Linked DNA regions of Lonchura striata. The main gene of each other region encodes a partner of the protein of the gene in region 3 in a complex. Links are inferred from orthologs where the notes say so. Each region holds a gene or a part of one and is shown on either strand. Other genes may lie near its edges.

Region 1 (7,949 bases), on a different chromosome or scaffold from region 3:
AAAGGAGGAATTGGACGAAAAAGGAGGGAACTGTGAGGAAAAAGTGGGAAACTGCCGAAAAAATGGGAATTTGAAGGGGAAAAATGGAATTTGAAGGGGAAAAAAATGGAATTTGAGGGGATAAAATAGGAATTTGAAGGGATAAAATGGAATTTGAAGAAAAAATGGGAATTTGAAGGATAAAGTGGGAATGTGAGGAATTTGAGATTTTTGGGTTTAAAAATGAGAATTTTGGACTCACTTGCACTCGGCTTCGGCATCAGCCTTGGCTGTGGTGTAGAGCCCTCGGAGCTTGGTGCGGTAATAGGGGGAAACTAAATGAATTTGGGGTCAAAATGTGCTGAAAAGCCCCAAAATTCCCCCAAAATTCCCTTTAAATCTGGGAAATTTTTTACTTTTGTTCTCTGTCTGCATCCGCTCGTGCGTCTTCTGGATGTTCACCAGGTTGTGCTCGCTGCGGGAGCGCTCCTCCTGAGGGGGAAAATTGGGGATTTGGGGAAAATTGGGGAAATTAGGGAAAAAGGGGGGGAAAGAGGGGAAAATCAGGAAAAAAAGGGGGAAATTATGAAAAAAGGAGGAAAAAGGGGGGAAATTAGGAAAAAAGGGGGAAATGAAGAAAAAAGGAGGGAAAAGGGGAAATTAGGAAAAAAAGGGGGAAGTGAAGAAAAAAGGAGGGAAAAGGGGGGAAATTAGGGAAAAAGGGGCAAATGAAGAAAAAAGGGTAAAATTAGGAAAAAATTGAGGGAAAAAGAAAAAGGAGGGGAAAAAAGGGGGGAAATTAGGAAAAAAGTGGGGAATTAAGGAAAATGAGAAGAAAGGGGGGGAAATAGGGAAAAAAGGGGGAAATGAGGAGAAAATGGGGAAAATTAGGAGAAAAAGGGGAAATGAAGAAAAAAGGGGGAAATGAAGAAAAAGGAGGGAAAGGGAAATTAAAAAAAATGAGGGAAGGGGAAAATAAGGAAAAAAGGGAAATTAAAGAAAAAAGGAGGAGAAATGGGGGAATGAAAAAGGGGGAAAATGAAGAAAAATGAGGAGAAAGGGGGGAATGAGAGAAAAAAGGAGGGGAAGGGAGGAAAATTAGAAAAAATAGGGGGAAATTAAGAAAAGAAGGAAGAGGTAAAATTAGGGAAAAAGGGGGAAATTAAAGAAAAAGGAGAGAAAAAGGGGGCAAATTAGAAAAAAGGGGAAAATGAAGAAAAAAGAAGGGGAAAAAAGGGGAAAATGAGAAAAAAGCGGGAAATGAAGAAAAAAAGGTGAAAGGTGCAAAAAAAAAGTTGATTTTGAGGTGAAATGGGTGATTTTTAGGATCCGTGAGTAGAAAGAAAAATTGAATTTGGGGTGAAATGGGTGATTTTGGGGTTCATGAGGGGGAATAATTTATTTTGGGGTGAAATAGACAATTTTTGGGGTGAAATTGGTAATTTTTGAGATTCCAGAGGGGAAAAAAGGTGATTTTGGGTGAAATGGGTGATTTTGGGCATCTGTGAGGAGAAATAAAATTGATTTTGGGGTGAAATTAGTGATTTTTGGGATACCTGAGGGGAAAAAATATATTTTGGGATGAAATTGGTGATTTTGGGGTGAAATGGGCGATTTTGGGAATCCCTGAGTGGAGAAAAATTTAATTTTGGGGTGAAATGGTGATTTTTGGGATCTGTGAGGGGGAAGAAAGTTAATTTTGGAGAGAAATGGGTGATTTTGGGGTGAAATGGGTGATTTTTGTGGTGAAATGGGTGTTTTTGGGGTGAAATGACTGATTTTTGGGGTCTTTGAGAGGGAAAAAAGTTGCTTTTAGGGTGAAATGGGCGATTTTTAGGGTGAAATTGGTGATTTGGGGGGTCTGTGAGGAGAAATAAAATTGATTTTGGGGTAAGTTTGATAATTTTGGGGTGAAATGGATTTTTGGGGTTTGTGAAGGGGAAAATAGTTGGTTTTGGGGTAAAATGGGTGATTTTGGGGTGAAATTGGTGATTTTTGGGATTCCTGAGGGGGGAAAAGTTGATTTTGGGAGAAATGGCTGATTTTTGGATTTCTGAGGAGAAAAAAGTGATTTTGGGTGAAATTGGTGATTTTGGGGTGAAATTGGTGATTTTGGGGTGAAATTGGTGATTTTTGGTATCACCGAGTGTAAAAAAAGCTGATTTTGGGGTGATATTGTTGATTTTGGGGTGAATTTGGTGATTTTGAGGTTTGTGAGGGGGAAAATTTTGATTTTGGGGTGAAAATGTGTGGTTTTGGGGGTGAAATGGGTTAATTTGGGGATCCCTGAGGGGAAAAAAGTCAATTTTGGGAGGAAATGGATGATTTTTGTAATCAGTGAGGGGAAAATATGTTATTTTGGGGTGAAATGGGTGACTTTTGGGACCCCTGAGGGGGGAAAAGTTTATTTTGGGGAGAAATGTGTGATTTTGGGGATCTCTGAGGGGAAAAAACTGATTTTGGGGTTCAATGGGTCATTTTTGGGGTTCGTGAGGGAAAAAAAGTTTATTTTGGGATGAAATTGGTGATTTTGGGGCAAAACGGGTAATTTTGGGGGTAAAATAGGTGATTTTTGGGGTGAAATGGGTGATTTTTGAGATCCCTGAGGGAAAAGTAAGTTGATTTTGGGATGAAATTGGTGATTTTGGTGGGAAATGGGTCATTTTTGTGGTAAAATTGGTGATCTTTGGGGTGAAATAGATGATTTTTGGGATCCCCGAGGGGGAAAAAAAATGGATTTTGGGGTGGAATTGTTGATTTTGGGCTCCTGAGCGGAAAGATTTCGAAAACACCGAAACCCTTGAGGATCCCTCGGGGCCAAACGGGACCCGGGGCTGCAAAACGGGGAAACTCCGAGGGGGGAAAAAAACCCCAAAAATCCTAAAAAAAAAACTAAATAAATCGAGGTACCTGCGTCTGTTTGATGAGCTGGTGCAGCTCCCCCAGCAGCTCCGCGATGCGCGAATCGGCCGAGACGAGCGCCATGAGGGGAAAAACAGGGATTGGGGGGGGGGGGGCAGAAAATGGCGGCGGGGGGAGAAAATGGCGGCGCCTCCTCAGGGGAGAAGCGGGAGGGGGGCGTAAGCCACGCCCACTTCGAACCATATATGGGCAAAACCACGCCCAGGCTCGGGGGAGCTGGTAAAGCCACGCCCACTTCGAACCATATATGGTCAAAACCACGCCCCCTTCCCTTATATGGCGCAAACCCGCGCCTAAACTCAGGGCAGCAAAGAGGAGGAAAGGGGACACAAGCCACGCCCACTTCGCGCCATATATACTCAAAACCACGCCCCTTTTACCCTTATATGGTGCAAAGCCGCGGCTGCGTGGCATTATTATTTATAATTCTTAAGCCACACGCATTTCGCGCCATATATGGTCAAAACCAGGCCCCTTTTACCCTTACATGGTGCAAAGCCGCGCCTGCGTGGCATTATTATTTATAATTCTTAAGCCACGCGCATTTCGCGCCATATATGGTGAAAACCACGCCCTTTTAACCATATATGGCGCAAATCAGCGCGTGTGTGGCATTATTATTTATGAGCTCTTAAGCCACGCCCACAATAGTGGTTTTTTATGAATGAACTCAATGCAAAGCCACGCCCTACGCTCATTAATATGGATTTTTCTGTCTCAAAGCCACGCCCACCAGCTCCCAATGGGGATTCAGTTTGGGAAAATCACGTGATGGCGGTGTCACATGACCGGCGTGCAACATGGCGGATGAGGAACCGCTGCTGCAGGAAGGTGAGAGGGGAAAAAATCTGGGTTAAAAATGAGGTTAAAAATCGGGATTTCGGGATAAAAACCTAAAATTAAAACGGGGATAAAGGGACAGGAATGGAGGCGGGAAATGGAACCGGGAGTGGGGAGCGGGATGGGAAAAAACAACCCCAAAAGTTCCTAAAACAACCCCAAAATCTCCCAAAATTGCCCCAAAATCCCTTTTGGAAACTTTTCTCTTCCCCTCCCCCTCCCAGATGAAGACTCCGCCCCGGCCCCCGCCCCCTCCGACCTCCTCCTGGCGAATCGGAGCCGCTTTTTGGTGAGTGCCCCGCCCCCACCAGAAGCCACGCCCCCTAAGCCCCTCCCACATCTCTAAACCCCTAAAATTTCCCGCCAAAACTTAACACATTTTGGAGACACCCCCACCCATTTAAGCCCCGCCCATTTTGGACCAAACCCACTTTGGGTGGCCACGCCCATTTAAGCCCCTCCCACATCTTAAAAACCCCACAGTTCCCGCCAAAATTGAGCCATTTTGGGGCACCCCACCCATTTAGGCCACACCCACTTGGACCACACCCTGGTGTAGCCACACCCCTTTAAGCCCCTCCCGCATTTGAGAAATTCCCGCCAAAACTGAGCCATTTTTGGGACACTCCACCCATTTAAGCCACGCCCCACTTTGACCACACCCCTTTAAGCCCCTCCCGCATTTGAGAAATTCCCGCCAAAATTGAGCCTTTTTTTAGGAACCCCACCCATTTAAGCCCCGCCCACTTGGACCACACCCCTTTAAGCCCCTCCTGTATTTGAGAAATTCCCGCCAAAATTGAGCAATTTTTGGGACACTCCACCCATTTAAGCCCCGCCCATCTGGACCACACCCTGGTGTGGCCACACCCCTTTAAGCCCCTCCCCCATTTGATAAATTCCCGCCAAAAATTGAGCCATTTTTGGGACACTCCACCCATTTAAGCCCCGCCCATCTGGACCACACCCTGGTGTGACCACACCCCTTTAAGCCCCTCCCCCATTTGATAAATTCCTGCCAAAATTGAGCCATTTTTGGGACACTCCACCCATTTAAGCCCCCGCCCACTGGGACCACACCCTGGTTGGCCACACCCTTTTAGCCCCTCCCCATTTGAGAAATTCCCGCCAAAATTGAGCCATTTTTGGGGCACCCCACCCATTTAAGCCCCGCCCACTGGGACCACACCCTGATGTGGCCACACCCCTTTTAGCCCCTCCATTATTTGAGAAATTCCCGCCAAAATTGAGCCTTTTTTTAGGAACCCCACCCATTTAAGCCCCGCCCACTTGGACCACACCCTGTCGTGACCCCACCCCTTTAAGCCCCTCCCTATTTGATAAATTCCCGCCAAAATTGAGCCATTTTTGGGACACTCCACCTATTTAAGCCACGCCCACTTGGACCACACCCTCATGTGGCCGCACCCCTTTAAGCCCCTCCCCTATTTGAGAAATTCCCGCCAAAATTGAGCCATTTTTGGGGCACCCCACCCATTTAAGCCACGCCCACTCGGACCACACCCTCATGTGGCCACACCTCTTTTAGCCCCTCCCCCGTTTAAAAAATTCCCGCCAAATTTGAGCCATTTTTGGGGGCACCCCACCCATTTAAGCCCCGCCCATTTTGACCCCCCACACCTGTGACCACGCCCACCTCAATGACCACGCCCCCAGCCTCACCCCCAAAATTTCCCGCAAAAACTGAGCCCACTTAAGCCCCGCCCCCTTTGACCACACCCATTCACCCCCCAAATTTTCCCGCCAAACCTGCCCCGTTTTAGCCCCTCCCCTTCCACCATAACCACGCCTTTTCCCGGCAAACCACGCCCACCCGTGGCCACGCCCCCCGCGTGGCCACGCCCCTTTAAGCCCCGCCCACCGCAGGATTTTGGGGCTGTGCAACAACCTCCCGTACGTGGTGATGCTCAGCGCCGCCCGCGACCTGCTGGAGCCACGCCCTGTGAGTGGCCACGCCCCCTTTTGGGGGACCACGCCCCCTTTTTGGGTGGCCACGCCCCTTTTCTGACTGGAATTTTTTGGGATTTTTCCCGGGGTTTTTTAGGGGGAGGAGCCACGGAATCGGAGCCGGCACGACTGCGACCCTGTGGGGACCGGGGTGGGTGGGGCTTAAGGGGGCGGGGCTTAAGGGATGGTAATTTAAGGGGCGGGGCTTAAATGGGCGTGGTTTAAATAATGGGGATTAAATAGGAGGGGATTGAAGGGGCGGGGCTTAAATGGGCGTGGTTTAAATAATGGGGATTAAATAGGAGGGGATTGAAGGGGCGGGGCTTAAATGGGCGTGGTTAAAATAATGGGGATTAAATAGGCAGGGCTTGAAGGGGCGGGGCTTAAATGGGTTGGGATTAAATAATGGGAATTAAATAGGAGGGACTTGATGGGTGGAGCTTAAATGGGTGGGGCTTAAATGGGCGGGGCTTAAGGAGTGGAATTTAAAGGGGCGGGGCTTAAATGGGCGTGGTTTAAATAATGGGAATTAAATAGGAGGGACTTAAAGGGGCGGGGCTTAAATGGGTTGGGATTAAATAATGGGAATTAAATAGGAGGGACTTGATGGGTGGGACTTAAATGGGCGTGGCTTAAATGGGAGGAGCTTTAAGGGGTGGGACTTAAATGGGCGTGGCTTAAGGAGTGGAATTTAAAGGGGCGGGGCTTAAATGGGCGTGGTTTAAATAATGGGGATTAAATAGGAGGGGCTTAAAGGGTCGGGGTTTAAATGGGTGGGGCTTAAATAATGGGAATTAAATAGGAGGGACTTGATGGGTGGAGCTTAAATGGGTGGGGCTTAAATGGGCGGGGCTTAAGGAGTGGAATTTAAAGGGGCGGGGCTTAAATGGGTGGGGTTTAATGAATGGGAATTAAATAGGAGGGGATTGAAGGGGCGGGGCTTAAATGGGTGGGGTTTAATTAATGGGATTTAAATAGGAGGGGATTGAAGGGGCGGGGCTTAAATGGGTGGGGTTTAAATAATGGGAATTAAATAGGAGGGGCTTAAAGGGGCGGGGCTTAAAGGGGGAAAACATAAAGGGGTGTGGCTTAAGTGGGAGGACCTTAAAGGGGTGGGGCTTAAATGGCAAAGGCTTTAAGGGGTGGAGGTTTAAGTGGGAGGGGCTTAAATGGGTGTGTCTTAAATGGGAGGGGCTTAAAGGGGTGGAGTTTAAAGGGGCGTGGCTTAAATGAGCATGGCTTAAATGGGAGGAGCTTGAAGGGGTGGGACTTAAATGGGCGGGGCTTAAATGGGCGGGGCTTAAAGTGACAGGGATCGAAAGGGGTGGGGCTTAAGTGGGAGGAGCTTAAGGAGGTGTGGATTAAGTGGGCGTGGCTTAAATTATTGGAAATTAAGGGGGTGGGGCTTAACAAGGGTGGATTAAGGGGGTGGGACTTAGATGGGTGGGGCCTAAGTGGGAGGGGCTTAAAATATCGTGAACTGAGTGGGCGGGGCTTAAATAGGTGGGGTTTGGGTGTGGCTAAAAGGGGCGGGGCTTTGGAGAGCCGGATTGTGATTGGGCGGGGTTTAAAGTGGGCGTGGCTTAAGTGGGCGTGGCCTGGCCCCGCCCCTCAGGCCGTCCTATTGGCCGACGTCGTTCCCGCCCTGGTGGTGAAGCTGCTGCTGCCCCTGGTGGGGCCGTACCTGCCCGACAGGTGAGAAAGGGGCGGGGCTTAAAGGGGCGAGTCTTAAAGGGGCGTGGCCTAAAGGGGCGGGGCCTAAAGGGGCGTGTCCTAAAGGGGCGGGGCTTAAAGGGGGCGGGGCTTAAAGGGGCGGTGCCTAAAGGGGCGGGGCTTAAAGAGGCGGGGCCTAAAGGGGCGGGGCTTAAAGGGGGCGGGGCTTAAATGGGGCGGGGCTAAAGCAGGGAGGGGATTTTGGGGGGAAAATGGAGATTTTGGGGAGGGGAAATGAGAAAGGGGAATTTTTTGGGGGGTAAAAGGGGATTTGGGGTGAAAAAAGTGAGTTTTTATGGGGAAAAAAATGTGAGTTTTAGAGGGAAATGGAATTTTTGTGGGGAAAAAATTGAAAATTTTAGAGAGGAAAGGGAATTTTTATGGGGAAAAAATGCGAATTTTAGAGAGGAAAGGGAATTTTTATGGGGAAAAATGCGAATTTTAGAGGGGAAAGGGAATTTTTATTGGGAAAAATTGCAGATTTTAGAGAAAAAAAGGAATTTTTATGGGGAAAAAATTGCAAATTT
Region 2 (7,438 bases), on a different chromosome or scaffold from region 3:
CGGGTGGGCTGGTCCCTGCTGGAGAGAGCAGAGGTGACTGGGACAGCCCTGGCTGGCTCCCTCGGGGCAGTGAGAGCTGTGCCCTGCTGCTGGACCCTATCCCAGATTGAAAGGCAAGACGTGCTCTATTGCCATCTCTATGGCATTGCCTTCTGTTCATTGGGCAGTTTTCCTTCTTTCTTCCACAACCAATCCTCTCTCAGGGGAGACATCTGCTGATAATGGGCTACTGAGTTAAAACATCCCATTGTGAGATGCTCCACCCAGAGGGAGGAGCCAAGCATTCCTACCTGGATATAATCTGTGTTTTTGGAACACCAACACAGGTTTTTCTAATAGATTCCCAAAAGGAACAGCTGGGGTTTTCCACTGGAGCTTCAGAGGAAGACTCCATCCTTCTACAGGATCCCTGCTCTGACAGAACCACCCCTGCCACTCCAGGGACTGCAGCCACTCCAATTTGGACTGCCACCAACACGCTGTCCAAAAGGGTGTCAGGTTGTGTTCTGACTCTGCCAGTGGTTTTCCTTTTGTGTTATTGCATGGATTTTGTTTCTTTTCCCTTTTCCTAATAACCTGTGTTTGTGACTTGGGAGTCTCTCAATGGTTTTGCTTTCTCACCTGCAGGCACAGCAGGAAGGGAGGGGGCCCACACTCAGCACACTTCACGTAGGGCTCCGTCAGGTACGAGGAGCAGCCTCGGCACGGGGGCTTATCAAAAGGGTCACCTGGGAAAACCACAGGAAATCTCCTGTCACACAAGCACAGCACTGCTTTGGCAGCCCCTAAATCCCCCTGTGCCCAGCCCCGGCTGCTGATGGTTCTTGTGGGCCCAGCTCAGGATGTTCTGTGATTCTATGGATTTTAAATGAACTCAGTTGTGCAACGAAATTAATATGACTGTCAGGTTATAATGGCTTCAAACTCAAAGAGAGCAGGGTTAGATTGGAGAACTGGGAAGAAACCCTTCCCTAGGAGGGTGGTGAGGATGCCCAGAGGAGCTGTGGCTGCCCCTGGATCCCTGGAAGTATCCAAGGCCAGGTTGGACAGGGCTTGAAGCACCCTGGGACAGTGGAAGGTGTCCCTGCCATGGCAGGGGTGGCACTGGGTGGGCTCTGAGGTTTCTTCCAACCCAAACCAGTCTGGGATTCCATGATTCTGACTTTTTCCAAGAAAATGGTTTTGAATCAGTTCAATTATAAGTAGAGAAAAATAAGGCAAAAGTCAGACCGAATAATTTTTGTGAGCACTACACCACGTCCCCAGAGTGCCACATTCGCTCAGTTTTTGGCCCCTTTCTGGGACAGTGACACCGAAATCCCACTGCTCCAAGGAATCCTTGTGCCGTGCAGGTTTTCCAGGAGCAGACGTGGGAGCTGGATTCTCTGAAGGCACTTACTGCTGAAGGAGGCCAGGCGCTCCATCCCTCCCCCGGCGCTGCCTGCTCCCTGGGTAAAACCCGGCTGGGAAACGCGCCAGGAGCGTCAGCCTTGTCCCACACCAAAGGGAATTATCCCAAAGGGAATTCTGCCTCTCCCACAGCCCTCGCGGCTCTGATCCTCCCAGGATGTCCTGAGCAGCAAGCAGAAGGGCTTCAGCAGCCGTCAGAGCCCACTCCACACGGATCAGAGTCCCTGCTCTGGCTGTGGGGGGAATCCGACAGGAGGTGTGGGGTGGTGGGGATGTCACCCCGAAGCGAGCAGAGTTATGAGCAGCTGCTGCGCAGGGAAGTGCTCTGCACCTCCCAGAGGCACTCCCCGCATCCCACTGCCCGTCCCAGTTCTGAGTCCCTCACATCCCAATCCCCATTCCCCATATCCCACTTCCCCATATTCCACTCCTCACATCCCAGTTCCTATTCTCATTCGCATTCCCAGTCCTCACTCGACCATATCCCAATTCCCACTCCCCCATATCCCCATCTCCATCCCCATATCCACATCCCTGTTCTCATCCCCATATCCCCATACCCATCCCATCTCCATATCCCCATATTCCCATCCCAATCCCATCCCCATTCCCATCCCCATTCCCAATCCCATCTCCATCCCAATCCCATTCCCATCCCCATATCTCCATATCCCCATTCCCGTTACCATCCCCGTTCCTACCCCCGTTCCCATCCCCATATCCCCATTCCCATCCCCATATCCCTATCCCAATATCCCCATTGCCATATTCCCGTTCCCATATTCCCATTCCCGTTCCCATCCCCATATCCCCATTCCCATTTCCATCCCCATATCCCCATCCCCATATCCCTATCCCCATATCCCCATTGCCATATTCCCGTTCCCATATTCCCATTCCCGTTCCCATCCCCATATCCCCATTCCCATTTCCATCCCCATCTCCCCATTCCCATCCCCATATCCCCATTGCCATATTCCCGTTCCCATATTCCCATTCCCGTTCCCATCCCCATATCCCCATTCCCATTTCCATCCCCATATCCCCATTCCCATCCCCATATCCCCATTGCCATATTCCCGTTCCCATATTCCCATTCCCGTTCCCATCCCCATATCCCCATTCCCATTTCCATCCCCATCTCCCCATTCCCATCCCCATATCCCTATCCCCATATCCCCATTGCCATATTCCCGTTCCCATATTCCCATTCCCGTTCCCATCCCCATATCCCCATTCCCATTCCCATCCCCATATCCCTATCCCAGTATTCCCATTCCCGCTCCCGTCCCCAATTCCTCTCCCGCCCCGCCTGTCCCTCTCCCCGTCACCGCCAGGCGGCGCCCCCGCCCGGCCCCGCCCCCTCCGGCCCCGCCGCGGCCCGCGCGCTCCCGGCGCCCCCCCCGCTGCCCGAGCCCCGCTCTGCGCGCTGCCCCCGGCCCGGCCCGGCCCGGTCCCGGTCCCGGTGCGGCCCGCTGGGGGCGGCGCGGGGAGCCGGGGGTGGTGGGGGGGGGGAGCCGGGGCTCGCCTCTCACCTCGCTCGGCGCGCCGGGTCGGGCCCGCGCGCGCGCGCGCGCTCCCGGGCCCGCCGTGCGCACGCGCCGGGGCGGGGCGCGCGCCCCCTGGCGGGACCGGCGCGCGCCGCAGGGGCCGCGCCGCCCCGAGCGGGGCGAGGGGGACCGGGAGCGAACCGGGCCGGGACCGGCACCGGCACCGGCACCGGCACCGGCACCGGCACCGGCACCGGCACCGGCACCGGCACCGGCACCGGCACCGGCACCGGGGCTGGGCAGGAACCGGGCTCGCACGGCCGGTGCCGCTGCCGCCCGGGGTCCCGCGGGGAACAGCCCCGGACCCCTCTGACCGCCCATCACCGGAGCCCCGCTCCTTCCCGGGGCGGCTCGGTCACCGGAGCCCCGCTCCTTCCCGCAGCCTCCCCGGCTCCTGGCGCTGCCCGGCCCTCGGGGTGGCGAAGGGCGGATTTCCACGGGGAAAGGGCTCCCGTGGCACTGCCGTGTGAAGCAGCTACGGGAGGAACTGGTCCTGCGGGGGATTAGAGCTGGATGTAACGGGGAATCCCGGAGTGGTGTGCGTGGGGAGGAACTTCAGCATCACCCAGTGCCACCCCTGCCATGGCAGGGACGGATTCCGCTGCCCTTGGACACTGCCAGGGATGTGCAGCCTGTGCCAGGGTCTCCCCACATCTCCTTCCCGATATTCCATCTAACCCTGGCCTCTGGCAGCCTGAAGCCATTCCTCCTCGTCCATCCATGCTCCTTGTCTGAACTATTTACCAACAAGATTAAAAATGCTGGCAGTTATTCCCTTTTTCTTTTGCCCAGGCACGTGCAAAAAATGGGAAAAAAAATTGAGGATTTGGGAGAGGCAAATGTACGGAATGTCAATTAAATGTTTATTGCTTCTGCTAACAGGTTTTTCCTGCATCTGGGAATTAGGACTCTGGGTGGTTAATGGAAGGAATCAGCATGTGGGAATCTGGTTCCTGCTGTTCCCAGGAAAGGTGATGCATCTGCAAGGTAAGAATGCTGTCCTGAATCCTGCAGCTTTCCGTGGACTTCAGATATTTCAGTGTTGAGGGTTTTCCTGTTATGCCCCTGGCATGGGAGTGAAAAAATATTTATGAGGAACATTGAAAATCCGTGGAGTCTTACAGGATTTTCAGGCCAATGTTTTAGTGACACGGTGTCTCCAAAACCACAGCCTCCTGATGGCTCCTGGAGGGAGCAGTGACAGGAAAAATCTTTTTTTCTGGAGCCTGCTCCAGTGGTTTCCAGCTCAGCAGAGCCCTGAAGGTGCCCCCAGCCCATGGCTGCTCCATGGCACGTGTGAAACGGCTCCAAAGGGTCTCAGCTCAGCTCCCAAAACTGCACTCCAGGAAGATCCAAGGGGATATTCTGGAATGAACTAAGTGCTCACACGCTGCTACTCAGAGGTTTTAGCAAATGAAGCAATTTTCATTTGCTGTTTGAGATTATTTGCTGGTAATTTCTGCTCGCCTGCAGCCCAGTGCGGGAGTGCAGGCTGAGCCCCAGGTGAAACAGTGGTTTTGGGGCAGAAATCAGTGGGAGCATTTTCAGGCCTCTCCCTGCCCTTGGTGGGATTTCTGGGCGCTGTTGGGTGGAGTTTTTTTGTGGCGTCGGCGTTTTCTGCCTCGGACACACGGTGGCGATGGGAATCGCCTTTTCCTCCGGAGCTTGGGGCTTGCTCGGTCACCACACGTGCTGTGTGCCCCCGGGAATGGAAGGATGAACCATTTCTGTTCAATCCCAAATAACCGCTGACATTTCCCAGCGGCCGAGGCTCCAGAGAACCCACAACGCTTTCTCAAAAGCGCTGATGTTACTTAAATGAAAATGTTTATGTTGAAAACAAGAGCCAATGGAGCCTCGAGGGCTGGTGTTTTGCTTTAAAAAGTGATCTGACCTTTCTCTCCGTTCCTTGGCTGCCAGGACACGAGTGGTGCCAGGCTGGCAGTGTCACCGACCCCCTCACCCGGGATGATCTGTCCTGTGTTTGCACTGGGGGTGTCATCAGAGAATGGTCAGGAGAGGTGGAACCAGCACTTGGCGTCACGAGAGGTAAAAACATTTCCCCTGTGTGTTTTGGAGTTTATTTACTAAGGCTAAGCTTCCTGTTTTTGAGAGAACGCAGTGGCACGAGTTCACAGTGCACATGCTTGGGAGTCATGGAATGAGAGTAAATAACCGTGTCCAGCTTTGGAGAGGGACAAGAAAAGGATGTCAGGTGCATTTACCAGCCCCCCTCCAAAGCAGAACGTGGGTATGATTCAAACATTTAAAAGACAACAACTGGAAAGTTGTTTGAACCCTGTGAAACAATTAAAACGCAGATTATTCCTGCCCAGACTTGAATCCCAGGATCGTTATGTTGGAACAGACCTCCCAGATCATTGAGTCCAACCTGGCTTCTCACCCAGCCCAGAGTAGTTTAATTTCATGGAATCTCCTCAGTTGGAAGGGACCCACAAGGATCAGCCTCACTTTCCTCCAGCTGATCATTCCACGTGCCCCCAGCCTCTCCTCACATGCCTTCCCCTCCAGACCCTTCGCCATCTCCATAGCCCAAAAATGCTCCTTCCAAATCCGTGCTGGACTTTTGGGGTGAATGTCTTTAACTTGCTCTTTTCCACGTGTTCATGCCTCTCTTTGCCCTTGAATGGAGGAGGTGCTGCAGGATTTCAGTGTGTGAAGCAATCCCTCCCCCAGCAGTGTTTGGACAGTGTTTGCAGCTGGATGGATGCGCTGGGCTGGGCAGGCAGAGTGCAGGTGCAGGTTTTAGCAGGCCTGGAGCTCTGGGAACAGCAGCCAGGATGAACTCAGCAGCTGTTGTAACCTCCTGGTTTGGTAAGTTCTGTGTGTAGTTATTATCAGTGGTTTGGGACCAGCCCCTCAGCAAGCCAATCACTCCCCCTCACTTCTGCAGCAGCTGGGATTTAGCACTGGAGACCATTAATTAACACCCAAAACCTTCTCTTCAGCTCCTTCCTGAAGCACTCAGAGGAGGGTTGTTTGTGTGAAATACACATCTATATCTATGTATTTATCTCTACAGCAGTATAAATAAAAGTGTTCCTGCCCAAAGTTTCCAGATTTGGTCCAAGTGGATGTGAGAATATGGTCTGTTCCCCCAATAATTTTATTAACTACAAGCCCCCAAATTGGCTTTTCTGGGTATTTCTTGCCTGCAGTGGGCACCCATGCCACCAGGTGCAGTTTCCTGCAGTCTCACACCTTCTAACCACCGCCTTGGTGGAAATTCTCTGTATTTGGGAACAGTGGATCCTTGGGGTCCCTGCAGGATCAGCCTGCACAGGTCACCACATCGAGCACTTAAACTTGTGTTACCCGTTCCATTTGTACTTCAGCAGCCCTGTAACAGCTCGGAGCTCAAATAAAACACAAAAACGTGGAAAAAGGCTAGCGGGGTAGTTCTTTAACCCATTGTCCGTCGGCAGAAGGAGCAGCTGAAGGTCAGAGAGGAGCAGGAGGGGCAGTGGCAGTGCCAGCCCTGCTTGGCCGTGCCCTCAGCACCTGTTATCAGCCTGTGCTCCCTGGCAGTGCCCGGGGACAGGCCGGTGTCCCCGCGGGCAGCGCGGGCAGCGCACGGCACGGGCCTGCTGGATCTGCAGCAGGGCACTCCTCTCCTGCCTGCTCTCTGCTCCCGTGCCCTGCCACCTGCGCAGCAGAGCCCTGCCTCGTGTTCAGGTGTGCGGCGGGTCCTGCCTGATTGCTCTTGTGCTGTTGGTGCCACCGAGAAGAGCCCGGTGCAGCTTGGCCCCCCACCACAGACACCGATGGGCGCCGGGGGGCCCCTTGGGGCACCTCGCCTCCAGGCTCAGCAGGCACAGCCCCCTCGGAGGGTTTCCCTCCCAGCAGCGATGCTCTGGTCCTGGGGGTCCTGGGATTCCCGGCTGGCCCGGGGGTCCCGGCTGTCCCAGGGGTCTTGGCTGTCCCGGGGTCGCGGGGATCCCGGCTGCCCCGGCTGTTCCGGGGCTCGCGGGGGTCTCAGCTGTTCCGGGGGTCCAGGCTGTCCCGGGGGTCTCGGGTGTCCCGGCTGTCCCGGGGGTTCCGAGGTCCCGGGGGTCCTGGCTGCCCCGGCTGTCCCGGGGGTCCCGGGTGTTCCGGCGGTCCCGGGGTCGCGGGGGTCCCGGGGATCCCGGGTGTCCCGGGGATCCCGGGGGTCCCGGGGATCCCGGCTGTCCCGGGGGTCCAGGCTGTCCCGGGGGTCCCGGCTGTCCCGGGTGTCCCGGCGGTCCCGGGGTCCCGGGGATCCCGGCTGCCCCGGCTGTCCCGGGGGTCCCGGGGGTCCCGGGGATCCCGGCGGTCCCGGGGGTCCCGGGGATCCCGGCTGTCCCGGGGGTCCCGGGGATCCCGGCTGCCCCGGCTGTCCCGGGTGTCCCGGGTGTCCCGGGGGTCCCGGGGATCCCGGGTGTCCCGGGTGTCCCGGGGATCCCGGCGGTCCCGGGGATCCCGGCTGCCCCGGCTGT
Region 3 (6,995 bases):
TCTGATCTCAGGGTGGCTTTAGCACAAACAGGCGTTCCTGCCTGCATACCTGCTGCCTGCCCACACAGCTGCTGCCTGCCCGGGCCTGAGCGCGGGTGTTTGTGCTGCTTATGCACCGCACCCGGGCTTGAGCTTCTCCCTCCTGCTGCTGGGAGCTCAGGGATGACTCCAGCAGCCCCTTGCCAAGCTGGGAAGGGGAAAGTGTGATACAACCACCTCACACCACACCCTGCCAGGCAGCTTGTTGTGGTTCCTTCTCTATTGTGTGAGGATGGGTATTGGCTGTGGAGCTGGAGATGACGCTGGCAGCATTGTGAGAAAGGGGTGAGGGCACCCCAGCTGCTCCTGTACAGGGGAATGGGACTGCCCTTTCTGCCTGCCTGCCCCCCTTAGCAGCAAAGTGCCCACAGAACCCTCTGGGTCTGCTGTCTGACCCCATTTTGTGCTGCCCTGAAAAGCAAGAAGTTTTTCCCTTTCTGTGCATCCCATTCCTCTGGCACCAAGAGCAGGGCGCAGCCTGCCCATCAACACCCAGAGAACACAAGAAGATTCAATGCAAAAGGATTTTTATTGGATACAAAAACATTCCAGTTTAGTGAAAAAAATGACATCATTGCTGATGAAGCTTGTCTGGGCTTAAACCCGAGACTTGCTCCTGTCTGCTCCGGTCCTGCCGTGGCCATGGGGTCCCATCCTCTCACACCTGGGCTTTGTTGGTGGCTCCCTCCTCAGAAGCTGCTCCGGTCTGTGGGGCGGCGGGGCTGACCTGGATGGGCACGCTCCTCTCGGGAGCGGCCGGCAGCGCCAGCTTGGGGGCCTCGATGCGGAGCTGTCCTTCCTTGGACAGGGAGCAGGTCAGCGCCTCGGCATCCACCTCCTCGGGCACGTCCCACTCCCGCTTCAGCACCTCGTACTTGTAGGAGAAGGAGCCCTTCTCATCAACATTCTGAGTCTCCTTCTGCCCCACCAGCACCACCTTCCTGCCCACCACCTTCACCGACAGCTCCTCGGGAGCGAAGTTCTTCACGTCCTGGCAGACAGAGAAGCCGTCCCCAGAGCTGTGGGTCAGGGTCATGCTGGTGCTCGGGGTGTGCTCCGCGGCGATGGCTCCGTGGTTGCTCAGGAGCTGCTCGAAGCTGCTCATGAACTCCCGAGCTTTCTCCATCTCCTGCTGCAGCTCGGTGAAGATGGTCTCTGCGTGTGGCCAGAGGGTCCTCACTGTGCCCAGCCGGCTGGCCAGGGAGCTGGAGGCGAATGGTGCGAGGTGCATCCGGCAAAGCATCGCTGCTGCTGCTGCTGCTGCTGCTGCTGCTGCTGCTGCTGCTGCTGCTGCTGCTTCTGTCCCGTTTCCAATGGGCTGGAAGCGTTCTGCCTCGCTGCTGCCGTCCGAGGCTTTTATAGCCGTTCCCTGGAGGCGTGGCTTTGTCCCGCACATTACATCACCCTCGGGAGAAGAGCTCAGCTCTTTCCAGCCCGTTCCAGCTCATTCTTGTTACTCACCCGTGAGGAGTGGCACCGCTGACGTCGTGCCCGGCATACCTTCGCCCTGACTCTTACAGCTCTGCTCTCCTGGCTTATAATTAGCAGCATCACCTCAGCCTCCGAGCGGGATGCCTGAGCCACCCTTGCCAAAAATCTGTGCCCTTTGCTTTTCCCAGGCATGGAGTGAGTCTGGGCTCATCTCCTCTCTGCCTCCCCCCACCCTCTGCTGTGTTCCATTTCTCCCCGTCTGTGCCCAGGGGGGTCCCCTCAGGTGACACCAGAAGTCAGTCCGTGGCCAGTGGGGTGCACAGTGAGGTGCTGAGGGGTCAGGACAGGATGGGGGTGGCCGAGAGGGAGAGGGGTCCCAGAAAGTGAAAGAAGTGCCAGTCAGTAGATGACCCAGGGCATGTACTTCAGGGGTGGGACTAATTCCTGTACTGGCAGAAGTGATGAGCTCCTGGCACAATGGATCCTGCCTCCTCTGAACCCCCGGTGGGGGTCCAGGGAGGGGCTCTGTAGCCCCCCGGCCATGGCCCCACGGGCCCTGCTGCATCACGATGGCTCTGCAGAAACCTGAGCTCCCAGCAGTGACTGCGGCTCCCTATTTGTGGTATGTGACCTGTCCCCAGAAACAGGCGCTGCTATTTTGGCTGGTGGATAATCAGCCTCTCAAAAATAGGCGATGGCTCCAGGACGCTGCGTGGGGAGAGAGCGTTCTGGAAGGGACACACCCCTGGGCAGGGGAGAATAAAATCCGCTGCTCCCCTGCCCCAGCCCAGCACGGCTCCAGCCATTGCACCGAGCAGAGCTGCAGCACAGCCAGGAGCGCCCCTCGGAGCAGAGATGCTTTGCCGCCTGCACTTTATGCCGCCCATGTCCAGCTCGCTGTTCCCGTGGCTGGGACCCGTCCGCACCCTCTGGCCACATCCAGGCACCCTCTTCGCCGAGCTGGAGCGGGAGATGCGGCTGGAGATGGAGAGAGCTCGGGAGTTCATGAGCAGCGTGGAGCAGTACCTGAGCAGCGGGAGCAGCCCCGGCCGGCTCGGCATCGCCTCGGAGCGTGCGGCCAGCACCAGCGCAGCCCTGACCCAGGGCTCTGCGGACGGCTTCTCTGTCTGCCAGGACGTGAAGGACTTTGCCCCCGAGCAGCTGTCGGTGAAGGTGGTGGGCAGGAAGGTGGTGCTGGTGGGGCAGAAGGAGACGCAGAGCACAGACGAGAAGGGCTCCTTCTCCTACAAGTACGAGGTGCTGAAGCGGGAGTGGGACGTGCCCGAGGAGGTGGATGCCGAGGCGCTGACCTGCTCCCTGTCCAAGGAAGGACAGCTCCGCATCGAGGCCCCCAAGCTGGCGCTGCCGGCTGCTCCTGAGAGGAACGTGCCCATCCAGATGGGGCCGGCGGTGGCACAGGCAGCTGGCAGCACTGAGGAGGGAGCCGAGCGGGCCAAGGCGTGAAGAGGAGCAACAGGGACCAGGCTGAGCCTGGCTACGGGGGCAGCTGCTGGCCGCAGAGCGGGACTGTGTGATGGCCCGGGGGGGTGGTGTCTGCCCAAAACATGCGGCTTTTTTGATATGTAATAAATATTCCTAACTTTTATTTGTGTGTTTTTGGTGTTTCTGGTCTTGCCCAGCCCTGTGCTTTGCAACTCTCCTGCCTGTGCCCACGCAGCGCGATGGCAGGGTGGGAAACGGGGCTGTGCTGGCACCGGCAATGTCCCGGCATCTCTCCGCAGCTCTGCCCTGGCAGAGGAGGTCGGGCGAGGGGCTCCGGACCGTGTGCAGCGCTGAGAATCCCCGGCAGGTCCCGAGCATCCCCCGGGTAGCTTTCGGACAATTGCCGCCCATCTTTGGGATGCTGCTGGAACCCTCCCGCGCGGTGCCCGCGTCCCCCGTGCCGCACCACCCCGCCAGCGCTGGCACCTTCCGGGCGCCGCCCGCCGCTCCGCGCAGCAGCGGCGCTAATCCGCTTCCCCCGCGCCGCCGGCGGGCGCGGCCTCTCAGCACTGGCCGTGCGGGCGGAGCCGGCGCTCCGGTACCGGCCGGGAGGCGCGGCCACGCTCCGCGCCGGCCGCTTGGCTTGGCCGCACCCCGTGCCGCCCGCGAGAAGGCGGAGGGCGGGTCACACACCGCATTTGGAGAAGAGGGCGTGGCCGTGCTCCATATTTGCGGGAGTCAGCGGAGCGCGGAGCGGTACCGGTTACCGGAGGGGTGGGACGGCTCCTCCGGGCACCGGCGGCTCGGCGTCGCCCCGTGAGAGGCTGTCGCGGTGTGCCGTCATGACCGGACCTCGATGCTCTCCGGACGGTTCACGCCACGCGCGGTCCCGAGCGGGAGCTCTGCTCCCGTTGGCAGAGCGGGTGACGTGAGGCGGCCCCGGGAGCGCCGTGCCGGGAGCAGCGGCCGCGCCTCCCCCGCCGCCGCGGACTACAGTTCCCGGCGTTCCCCGCGCTCCCGGCGCGCAGGCGCGCTGCGCGCGGGGCGCACGCCGGGCCCGGCATGGCGGAGCCGGAGGCCGCGCAGCCCGGGCGGCCCCCGCCGGGCCCCGGGACGGCAGCGGCGGGGACGGCGGGGGCGAGCGGGGTGGCGGCTGGAGGAACGGGATCCAGCGACCCGGCGCGGCCCGGGCTGAGCCAGCAGCAGCGGGCGAGCCAGCGCAAGGCGCAGGTGCGGGGGTTCCCCCGCGGGAAGAAGCTGGAGAAGCTGGGGGTGTTCTCGGCGTGCAAGGTGGGGGACAGCGGCACCGGGAGGGCGGGAGGGCGGGAGGTGGGGTTCCAGGCTGTGCATGACGGCGGGATGCGAGGACGGGCACGGGTGGGGTTGCAGGAGGGATGCAGGGGATACAGGAGTGGGGGGTCAGTGCTGTGCATGGGTGCGGGATGAAGGACGAGGATGCTGACCTGAGTGCGGGATGCAAGCACGCTTATGGGTGTAGGAGAGGAATTTAGGGATGCAGGAGGGTGAGTGCAAGGAATATATGGACAAAGGATGCGGGATTGGGATGTACACGGGGTGCAGGACGGGGTGCTGGGCTGTGTGCAGGCAGGGGCTGCAGGAAGAGAGTGCTGAGTTACCCAAGGGAGGTGCAGGGATGTCACTGGGCAGGGGCTGCAGAGTCCTGGGGTGCACGGGGGAGTGTTGGGGTGGTGGGGGCTGAGAAAACAGGTAGGAGGGAGCCAGGGAAATCCTTTGGCCACAGAAGGTGGCAGCCTCGGCGTGTGGTGGCGCGTGGGCCACAGCAGTGACCGCTGCCGTCCCTCTTCCCAGGCCAACGACGCCTGCAAGTGCAATGGCTGGAAGAACCCCAACCCCCCCACAGCCCCTCGAATGGACCTGCAGCAGCCGGTGACCAACCTGAGTGAGCCGTGCCGGAGCTGTGGCCACGCGCTGGGTAACTCCCCTGGCACCTCCCGGGCACGCCGGGCACGGCGCTGATCCCTTGGTCTCACCGTGGCTTTCTCTCCGGCACAGCGGACCATGTGTCTCACCTGGAGAACGTCTCAGAGGAGGAGATCAACCGTCTGCTGGGCATGGTGGTGGATGTGGAGAACCTCTTCATGTCGGTGCACAAGGAGGAGGACACGGACACCAAGCAGGTGTATTTCTACCTGTTCAAGGTGCGTCTGGGGGTGTGCATGTCTCACTGCCCCGCTCGTGGGGGCACTTGTGCAGAGTTTCTGGTCATTGTTGGGGCTGCTGTCCCACTGCTTGTGCTCTGTTGGAGCTGGCACTGAAGCTGGGGCTGTGAACCATCCCACAGCCCAGAGACCTGGAACGCTGACCCTTTTCTGGAGTGACTGCTCTCCTGGCCTTGGATTCCCCAGGGGGGCAGTTCTGGGGGATGAATGGGTATGCTCCAAGGGCAGCACCGGTGCCTTCCTGGCTCTGGAAATTGGAGCAGCCCCATGGTGGCATTCATTCACCTCCAGCATTCCTGGAGCATCTGGTTCCTGGGACTCTTTTGACCGTGTCTGTTGGTGTCTTTGTAGCTGCTGCGGAAGTGCATCCTGCAGATGAGCCAGCCTGTGGTCGAGGGGTCCCTGGGGAGCCCTCCCTTTGAGAAACCAAACATTGAGCAGGTGAGGCTGCTGTCAGGCTGGTGCACTGACTTGTCCTGTGTTCTGCTGCTCTTGCACGGTCCCCTCACTCTGGCAAGGCCCCAGAGCAGCCCCTGGCACCTCCCCACTGTGCCATCCTCTCCCCAGGGAGTCCTGAATTTTGTGCAGTACAAGTTCAGCCACTTGCCGCCCAAGGAGCGCCAGACCATGTATGAGCTCTCCAAGATGTTCCTGCTGTGCCTCAACTACTGGAAGCTGGAGACACCGTCCCAGTTCCGTCAGCGCTCCCAGAATGACGATGTGGCCACCTACAAGGTCAACTACACCAGGTGAGGGCAGGGGGCCATGGAGCCAGCCACCCTGGGGTCTAACTCCCAGGGTGTCTCCCAGACTGTAAGTCCACTAGGACAGCAGGCACCCAGTGGTGACGTTCCCCCCCTCACACAGCCCCCTGAATATCAGACTAGCCCAGAGGTCCGAGGCTGTGTGGGGAGGAATATTAGGAGATGACAAAGATTTCCAAAAGAGGCTCTTACCCCAATATACGTTGGTTCAGCTCTCTTTATTCTGTGATGCTCATGGGGAGAGCGGGGCAAAAAAGAACGAACAGGAGATGTCAGGGGTTTATCCAGGCTTTGGACAGGGTGGGCTTCCCTGGCTCTCTGCCAACCCCGTTGGGGCAGGAAGGAGGGGTCTGGGGTTATCTTGATCAGAGTCACAGGGTCCCGGGGAAGGGGGCACAGAGTGCCCATGAGCTTACTGTAACACAGTAGGGCCAATGCTTCTAAATGCCACCCGTGCCCTTCGTCCAGCCTGCTCCCAGCAGCACTGTCCCAGCAGGGATATGGTCACTGTGGGCTCCCTGGTTCCAGCCCTGTCTCCAGAGCCCTTTCCTGTCCCACAGGTGGCTGTGCTACTGCCATGTGCCACAGAGCTGTGACAGCCTGCCCCGCTATGAGACCACCCACGTCTTCGGGCGCAGCCTCCTCAAGTCCATCTTCACGGTGACCCGCCGGCAGCTGCTGGAGAAGTTCCGGGTGGAGAAGGACAAGCTGGTGCCGGAGAAGCGGACACTGATCCTCACGCACTTCCCCAAGTAGGTGCTCAGTGTGGAGATGGCTGCTGGAGCACTGAGGGGACTTGCATGCTGATGTGCCACTTCCTTCCAGGTTCCTTTCCATGCTGGAGGAGGAGATCTACGGTGAGAACTCTCCAATCTGGGAGGCTGATTTCACAGTGCCAGCTGCGGAGGGTGCCCAGCTGGTGTCTCGCCCAGGTATTTCAGGAAGCAGCTCCCTCTGTTTGGAGGGTTGAGAGATAAAGGGTGAAGGTGTGGCAGAGCAGTGGCAGTCCTGGGCTGCCGTGGCGTGATGAGGCATTTTCCAGCGGTCATGGGCACCGTGGGTCTGTTGCAGCTGCAGTCAGCACCGTTGCTGTGCCCACCACTCCTCTCTTCAGCAA
Region 4 (7,844 bases), on a different chromosome or scaffold from region 3:
AAAACCTGCTTCACAAACCTATCAGAGTCCTCCAAATCTATCAGCAAGCAAGTAGAACAGAGATCTCTACTCTAGAGTCCAGGTCCTCCCTGGGGGATCTGTGCCAGAATCAACATATTTTTTATCATGCATTTTTAACATATTTATAAATAGTCTGGAAAACTGTAGGAAAGGAACAGTGCAGTAATTATAAAACCATTGTTAGTACAGACTTTGGAGAATTGATAAGACCAAACCAACTCAAAAATAGCCATAAATTAAACTCTGCCTCTTCCTCATCATACAAGGAGGTAGGGTTTATATATGGGGCTGAGGAAAACCAAATCAGGAGATAACAAAATAAAAGACAAGGGGACAGTGTGTCAAAGAATGAAAATGAGTAACAGGGAAACAGAAAAGGTCAGGCCTACATTAACCAAACCTGTGTTCTGATTCAGGCTGGCAACTCTTATCTTCCTTTCTTCCTGTATCTAAATGTACCTATGCACTACTTCTCAGACCCAGGATACTGACCAAAAAAACAGACTTAAAATATGGATTTATCAAAACACTGTAATTCTGACAACTGTACTTCAGAAGGCAGCACAGAATTAAGCACTAGCATGTTTTATTAGGGGGAAGAATGTTCTTGCTTTGATTTGATTTTACACACTCAGAAGCATCAGCAAATCATAGAACTTCATTTTTGCTACTATATAGCACTTATAAAACAGCTGCTATTCTTAATTCACATGTCTCAAAACAGTAGGAAGAAACATGCAACAACTCAAAGCCTTCCCCCTGGAAAAGCATATATATGTTTGGGTTAGCAAGCACACAATCAAATTCTAGAATACACTGCAGCTCATTATAAATGCACTCTGTCAGCCACAAAACATTTCATTTCAAAACTCTCCAGTCTCCACAACGTAGTCCTTACACTCCCCCATGTGGCTGACCACTAAATAACATTTCTTTACTCAGACCCCAAAAACTCAGAAGAAATAACAAAAAGACAAAGAAGCCCCTAAAAGATGGCCAGAGCCATAGAAAAAAATTTCAAGCTGAAGCCACTGAGGAGGACAGAAGAGAACACTTCTCAGTTCTACAAACCACAGGACCACAGTGCAGGAGTCAGAGGCTCTGATTACTCTCACAAAACCCTATTTCCCTTCAGTGTCTGCTCTCTGCTAATTACGTTGTATCTTCTGATAAGGATGATAGTGTTCCTCCAGAAACAGCAATAAAGAATCATTCCATTGTTCCGAGAGACACTGTTACCAAATGCAACATCTTTCAATAAAATGCATTTCATACAACCTCAGGCCACTAAAGATTTCAGTGGCACTAAAGTGATAAACTACATTCTATTGATGCATATTTACCATTTTAAAAACTAGCATGTGTTATCCTTTCCCTCAAAATGTTAATTAGTGGACACAGTAGCAAGGATTAATCCCTTAATTTAAATGCACATAACCTACAAAGTACTGTCAGATATTGCAAGAAATGCAACAGCTCCTTGTGAACTTAGTGCCTGTAGAGGGATAGACAGGCAGTGGTGGCAATATTCTTTAATCAAAGGCTGGCAGCAGAGGTAGAAGCAGTGCAAATTTTCTTTACACTTTCTCCAGCTGGTGGAGCCAGTAGCAGAGACAAGAATTCCCTTCACTTGTGTGCATTTCCAGCTCTGACTCGAGGACCACCAAACCGGTGGAATATGACAGTCACTGTGTCACAGGTCCTTGACCACCGAAATCTGACAAATACATTATCAAATCATCTTTTCAGAACCTACAGCTCAACAGCCTAAACCTAGGCATGTGTTTTCTGGATTTGCAACTATAGTAACACAACTTTAGTTGTAAGTGATCTGGACAGAAGAGACTTCACATCCTGTAACTGAAACTGTTGAAATACCACTAACAAAACCATGCATACACATTTAGCATAGCACTAACAAGACAGAAATCAGCACCACACCTCTACATTTTACAGAGAGAAGCAAAAGCAAGCAATATACATGTTATTCACATAGAAAAAAATCTATGTATTACCTTTCTAAAGCCTGTTTTATACTTTACGTACAACAGCTTGACCCTTTAGCCTAAGGGAATGAACATAGCTACATAGATATTTTAGAACACTCAGCTTTCTTTCGGCCAAGAACTAACCTAAAGAAACACCAACACACCTGTAGAAATCACTCTCTGGGTCACTGTGCCTCAGCTGAAATGGCATTTTGGGGGTTTTGCTATCCAGAGGAAGCAGGTCATCAGGGAGAGGTGGGGAGGCAGGACAAGATGGCAGAGGCTCATTCTCTTCGGTTTTTATGCCCTCTGCTTGCTGCTGGTTCTGAGCCTGAGCCGCGGCGATGAGGCTGCGCAGCCGCCGGTTGTGCTGGATGAGCTGGATGGTGTGGATGGTGAGGCTGCAGGGCTCGGAGGGGATGTCCAGCATGGTGGTGGGCCGGGGCTTGTTCGCGGACGGCTGGTGCAGCGGCGGATCCTGCACTTCCACAGTCCGAAACTCGCGCTGCAGCAGGTCAAAGGAGCTGCGGTTGGCCTGGCTGGAGGAAACCGGGATCTCACCCCAGTACCGCAACATTTTTACGCATAGGTCGCGCTCAGAACCCAGAGTACTGCGGGTACAAAGGAGGCTTGTTGCGGGGAAAAGCACTTCGGGCAGCAGCAGACACAGGAGCCGGGACGCCGCTCCAGCCGCCTCAAGTTACGGCTGCCGAGCCGCTGTGGCTCAGAGCCGCGCCGAGCAGCGCAGTGTCCTCGGCAGCCCCGGGTCGCCGCTCCGGCAGCTTATAGATCGCACCGCGGCTTTTCCTGGGGGGAGAAGGGGCACAAACAAACGCGATCGTGAAGCCGTTTCTGCGTGTAACAAGGGCTGCTGTGGACCCACCCGGGCCGCGCTGAGCGGGGGCCGCCCTCGCCCCTCGCCCTCTTTCCCCCCCAGGCCCGCGGCTGCCCGCCCCCGCCTACCCTGCGGTGCGCTCCCTGCCGGAAGTGCGTCCCGGTCCGCCAGCACCGCGGCTCCCCCGCCACCCGCGCTCCTCCAGCCCGGAGGAGGGAAGCGCCCGCCGCCGCTGCCTCCGCTGCCGCCGCCTCCGCCTCGCCCGCCGCCCTCCCTGACTCGCCCCCCTCGCTGCCCCGGGCCGCGCTGGGCGGCGGCGGAGCGGCCCCGGGAGCTGCGCGCTGCCCCCGGCGCTGCCGCGCTCGTTCCCGGCGGACTCCGTTTGGCGACGGACCGGGGAAGATGGCGGAGGAGGCAGAGGCGGCAATGGCAGCGGAGGCCGAGCCCGCCGCCTTCAAGCGCCCGAGCCGCCCGCTGCCCGCCGCCCCCGGGCCCGGCGACCCGGGGCCCGGCCCGCCCGGAGCGCCCCGCGCCGCCGCGCCGCCCGCGCCGCGCTACGAGGAGCCGCCGTGGGGCAGCCGGCCGCCCGCCGCCTCCGGGTACGGGCTGGAGGTGCTGAAGGGCGGCGTGGCGCTGGGCTCGGTGCGGCTGGACGACAGCAGCTGGTTCCTGGTGGGGCGGCTGCCCGGCTGCGCCGTGTCCCTGGAGCACCCGTCGGTGTCGCGGCACCACGCCGTGCTGCAGTACCGCGGCGCCGGCTGCTCCCCCGGCGGCGCCGATGCCGCCGGGTTCTACGTGTACGACCTGGGCAGCACCCACGGCACCTTCCTCAACAAGGCGCGGGTGCCGCCCCGCACCTACTGCCGGGTGCGGGTGGGCCACGGGCTGCGCTTCGGCGGCAGCTCCCGCCTCTTCCTCCTGCAGGTGCGTCGGGGCTCGGGCGGCTCCGGAGCGTGTGCGGGGTGGTACAGGCTGGCCCGGGTCAGGCTCGGGAGTTTTCCCGGCTCCATGAGGTGTGAGGCCGTTTGGAAGCAGCCCAGCGCTGCCGTGGTTGTTTGACCGGGAGAAAAGCTGTGGCTGTCTGCTGCCGGCCCTGCAGTGAGGTGTGGGGCTGCAGTGATGTGCTGTGTGTGCAAAAGTGTGATCTCCAAAGTGTGATGTATTAGGAATGTCTTTCTGACAGTATGATGCCACAATAAATAAAGAACTAATATCTCTTTGTGAAAAAGGGGAGTGTTTGTTAGGAGGGACTTGGGCAGCACATTGTGTGTTGTACACGCGCTTGAGAACCTGCTTGTTCCTCAGATTCACCCGTGTAGTTCTGACGTGAATTTTTGCCTTTAGCCTTTTAATTACAGTTATATGTGAGATGGATCTGACTGCAAGTACACTACAATGTTTATTTCTCCATGCCTTTCTTTTGAAAATGCCATTAAAGCTAATACATTTTGGAATGCAAACCATTTATAGTCAAATAAGTCCACTTTTTGAAGAGCGGTGTAATGATGTTCCTATTATATGTAATAATGTGTTATTATATGTAACCCTGCATGTGTGCTGGAAATACTTGTTGGGTTTTTTTTAAAAACACTTTTGCTAATTTTCTGTTTTGACTTAGGGACCCAAAGAGGACCAGGAGTCTGAGTCAGAGCTAACTGTGACTGAACTGAAGGCACTACGCAAGCAGCAACAAGCAAAATTAGAAAAGACAATGTTGGGAGAGGACTCTGATGAGGAAGATGAGAAAGAGGAGAGAAATGAAAGGAGTCAGAATAGTGATATGAGCTGCTCATGGGGCATGGGTAAGTGAGGATGTATTGATTGACTGATATGTATTAGAAGGTCTGTAAGTGCATTTTCACTGAATACTAGGGTTAATATTCCAACTGGCTACCAAGAGTCACAATCCAGTCAAAGTTTTTGAGTACAAATTAATCTTTCTGCTGCTAAAACGAAGGGTATGTGACAAGCTAACATATAGTGAGCTCCTTTTAAACAGCAGGAGGTAATTTGCCTATACCTATTAAAAGCCATGAAACTTAGAGCTTAATTAATGCTCTTTGGGTTGCCTCTGTGATGATGTCCACACTTTTGCCCAAGAGGTGAAATTTTGCTGCTTGAGACTTCTATGCAGTATAGCTGTCTTTGCATTTAAACAGCAAGTCCACGTATTAGAGGCTAGATAAATTATAATTAATGAGCTTTTTGCAAGTTAATTGGGCTTTTTTGAGTTAAAACGTATAAGGTTATAAACCTTTGAAAGTAGTGAGACTGACATTGATTTGCAAAACTGAATAGTATATTGGAATAACTAATAGCAAATTTTTTTTTTATTGGGTGTAGGAATAATACATTTAAGGGAAGTAATTTTATGATGTAGCTGCTACTTCTTTCAAACTAATGAAAGTTGAAATATGGTGGTGTTCTCTTTCTCATGTTTCATGGGTTTTTTTTTTTGGAATTTTGATGTCTTCTAGGTGAGGATGCTGAGGAGGATGAGGTTGAAGAAAACCCTATTGCTGTTGATTTTCAGGATGTTCAAGATGCCTTTTATATGAAAGACCCTAGGAAGGCCTTACAGGGCTTTTTTGATAGAGAAGGTAGTTTTTTTTTCTTTTTTTTATTAAATGTGATTTTTTTTTTTAACTCAGCCTAGTGTTACTTTGTTGTTTATGTTTCAGGGGGATATAAAGTGTCATGTGGGAGCAAAACTTTCTGTTACACTGTGGGTTACATTGTTTTGGTGGGGATTTGTAGTGGTTTGTTTTGGGTTTTTTTCATTAAAACTCAGCTCACCGTTGTACATCTGAGTCTTAGTTACTAATTCCTAAACTGCAGTGAGTAGTTTATATTCTGGAATATTCTTCAGCTTGTATCCTCTGGAGTGACACTCAAACTTCACCCATGCTTTGAAGCTACGTGGAAAAATTTAAGAAAGATAAAAGGCAATAATTAAGTGGTCTAAAGTTTCAGTGGTTGCTAGTGAAACTTAAAGAATATTCACTTACTTGTTGAAGTGAAAAAGCAACCTTGAAGACAAACAGTATCTGTGAATTCAGATTGCAATCTGTTGTTGCTTCAGCATCATATACTTTCACGCATACAGAGACAAGATTGGTTTTTCTTTGAATTGCATGTTCCTAAACAGGCCACTTAAAGATTTTCTGGTCTGAAAAAGCCTTGATTTTAGGAAAAAACCCAAATCAGCATAAGTAAAGCAAAATCATGGTATGCAGCAAGAGCTTGTTAATCCTTTTGTTTTGAAGAATGTCCCTGCTGTAAAGGTTATTCCTGCTTATTTCAATTTTGGTTACCACATCAATTTTATTTTCTTTTCTAGGAGAAGAGTTAGAATATGAGTATGATGATCGTGGGCACAACAGCTGGCTGTGCAGGATCAAGTATGTACATCTCCATTCCTTTGGTACATGGAAGGTGACTGTTGAATTTGCAAACAAAACTGAAGGAATTAATTGTTGTGTCACACTTGGCAAGGAAGCCAGTTAAATTTAGATTTAAGCCCTGATACTGAGACAGAGGTTCAAGGATCAGTGCCTAGTTCAGTGTCTATGATCCTTTTTTGTTCTTACAATATTTGGTTTTCCTAGGGGATGAAAATTGGGAAAGCAAGGATCTAGGTTCTTTCAGCTCCCCAGTATGTAAAATAGGAATACAAGAGAAGAAACTAGGAAACAATCTCTTTCAATTCCTAATGAGAAAGATCCAAAAAAACCCCAAACTTAATTCTACTGTTTGTCCAATTTCAGTTCCTGTATGGTATAAGACAATTTTTGAGGGGTTCCTGCTAGAGGCCACTAATGTAATTCATTTATAAGACAGGAGAAGGTGAGGTGGAAATTAAGTCAACAAGTCTCAACATAGTAATGATTGTACTGCTTAAAAAATCCTTTGCTTTGTCATGGAAATTATTTGTTACCCACATTGTATGAATACAAGATACCAGTACTTAAAATGATTCAGGGATTGACATTTAACCTTCTAACTTTCTGTATTTCTAATGGAATAAATAGAGGAAAAATTACTGTTTGGACCAGTGAAATACAAATTGACTTACATGACTAGGAAATCATGCTTGTCTTTTGATTGGTTCTGTATGAAATAAAAAGTGGAAAAATTTGACGCACAAAAAGATTAAAATGAAATGGCAATGCCATTGTAAAATATCTGAGTAGCATCTCTGAAAAGCTGTTTGTATCTGAGCTGTTCTCTGATCCTTCAAACTGATCAGGTTGCCTGTGGATGATGCATCAGGGAAGCAGCTAGTGGCAGAAGTTCTCCATTCAGGAAAAAAGAAGGAAGCGATGATACAATGTGCACTGGAAGCTTGCAGGCTGCTTGATGCTCGAGGAGTACTGAGGCAAGAAGCAGGTGAATAACTCTGATCATTCTAAATGCCCTAAATTAGGCATTTGAGATTGCGATCTCGAATTTGCTTTATTGCTGAGTGATATGCAAATCATTTTGTTTCTTGCCTTCTCCTGTGCCTTTCTCAGTATCCCGAAAAAGGAAATCAAAGAACTGGGAAGATGAGGACTTTTATGACAGTGATGATGACACCTTCCTCGATCGAACTGGTGCTGTGGAAAAGAAACGACTGAATAGAATGAAGAAAGCTGGTAAAATAGAAGAAAAACCAGAGACATATGACTCCCTGGTAAGAACAATTGTTATGACATGTCAGGGTTACTCTCTCATGTCTGTATTATATTATATTATGACTAAGAAGAAATCTTAGTGGGTTATGGCAGTGGATGAAGGAAATGCCAAAACAGGATAGTTTTAAATAACTGGAAAATAATTCCAGGCTTTTAAGTCCACAGGACACATCCTAAAGAAATATCTCATTCTCCTTCAAAGAATAAGAATCTTGGATTGACAGGCATATGACAACAATAAATCCTGCAAAGACAGTAGGTTGTGAGGGATAACAGGTGCTGGAGGGTTCAGTGGTGGTACAGCACTACTGCAGAAGAATTATG

Evidence for each region. The genes of interacting proteins can lie anywhere in the genome.
Region 1: KAT2A (region 3) and SGF29 share a complex: the UniProt entries of both Homo sapiens proteins name them as parts of the ADA2A-containing complex. The link is inferred for Lonchura striata from reciprocal best matches to the Homo sapiens genes KAT2A and SGF29.
Region 2: KAT2A (region 3) and TADA2A share a complex: the UniProt entries of both Homo sapiens proteins name them as parts of the ADA2A-containing complex. The link is inferred for Lonchura striata from reciprocal best matches to the Homo sapiens genes KAT2A and TADA2A.
Region 4: KAT2A (region 3) and SUPT7L share a complex: the UniProt entries of both Homo sapiens proteins name them as parts of the STAGA transcription coactivator-HAT complex. The link is inferred for Lonchura striata from reciprocal best matches to the Homo sapiens genes KAT2A and SUPT7L.

The regions. Positions count from the first base shown.
Region 1 is NC_134637.1:737,872-745,820, reverse strand, and holds the start of SGF29 (SAGA-associated factor 29), read right to left. Parts: upstream 3,002-7,949; 5' UTR 2,965-3,001; coding exon 2,890-2,964; intron 472-2,889; coding exon 396-471; intron 315-395; coding exon 242-314; intron 1-241. UniProt on the Homo sapiens protein: Chromatin reader component of some histone acetyltransferase (HAT) SAGA-type complexes like the TFTC-HAT, ATAC or STAGA complexes.
Region 2 is NC_134622.1:10,485,167-10,492,604, reverse strand, and holds the start of TADA2A (transcriptional adapter 2-alpha), read right to left. Parts: upstream 3,002-7,438; 5' UTR 2,946-3,001; intron 1,644-2,945; 5' UTR 1,425-1,643; coding exon 1,400-1,424; intron 729-1,399; coding exon 622-728; intron 1-621. UniProt on the Homo sapiens protein: Component of the ATAC complex, a complex with histone acetyltransferase activity on histones H3 and H4. Required for the function of some acidic activation domains, which activate transcription from a distant site. Binds double-stranded DNA.
Region 3 is NC_134627.1:6,426,571-6,433,565, forward strand, and holds the start of KAT2A (histone acetyltransferase KAT2A), read left to right. Parts: upstream 1-3,975; coding exon 3,976-4,203; intron 4,204-4,743; coding exon 4,744-4,867; intron 4,868-4,947; coding exon 4,948-5,093; intron 5,094-5,465; coding exon 5,466-5,555; intron 5,556-5,681; coding exon 5,682-5,863; intron 5,864-6,438; coding exon 6,439-6,630; intron 6,631-6,703; coding exon 6,704-6,810; intron 6,811-6,949; coding exon 6,950-6,995. Other genes in the region: HSPB9 (heat shock protein beta-9), read right to left, coding at 698-1,282; heat shock protein 30C-like, read left to right, coding at 2,326-2,934. UniProt on the Homo sapiens protein: Protein lysine acyltransferase that can act as a acetyltransferase, glutaryltransferase, succinyltransferase or malonyltransferase, depending on the context.
Region 4 is NC_134605.1:6,407,897-6,415,740, forward strand, and holds the start of SUPT7L (STAGA complex 65 subunit gamma), read right to left. Parts: upstream 3,002-7,844; 5' UTR 2,973-3,001; intron 2,939-2,972; exon of another isoform or gene 2,817-2,938; 5' UTR 2,587-2,816; coding exon 2,174-2,586; intron 1-2,173. Other genes in the region: SLC4A1AP (kanadaptin), read left to right, coding at 3,247-3,768, 4,463-4,646, 5,322-5,444, 6,185-6,245, 7,094-7,233, 7,359-7,519.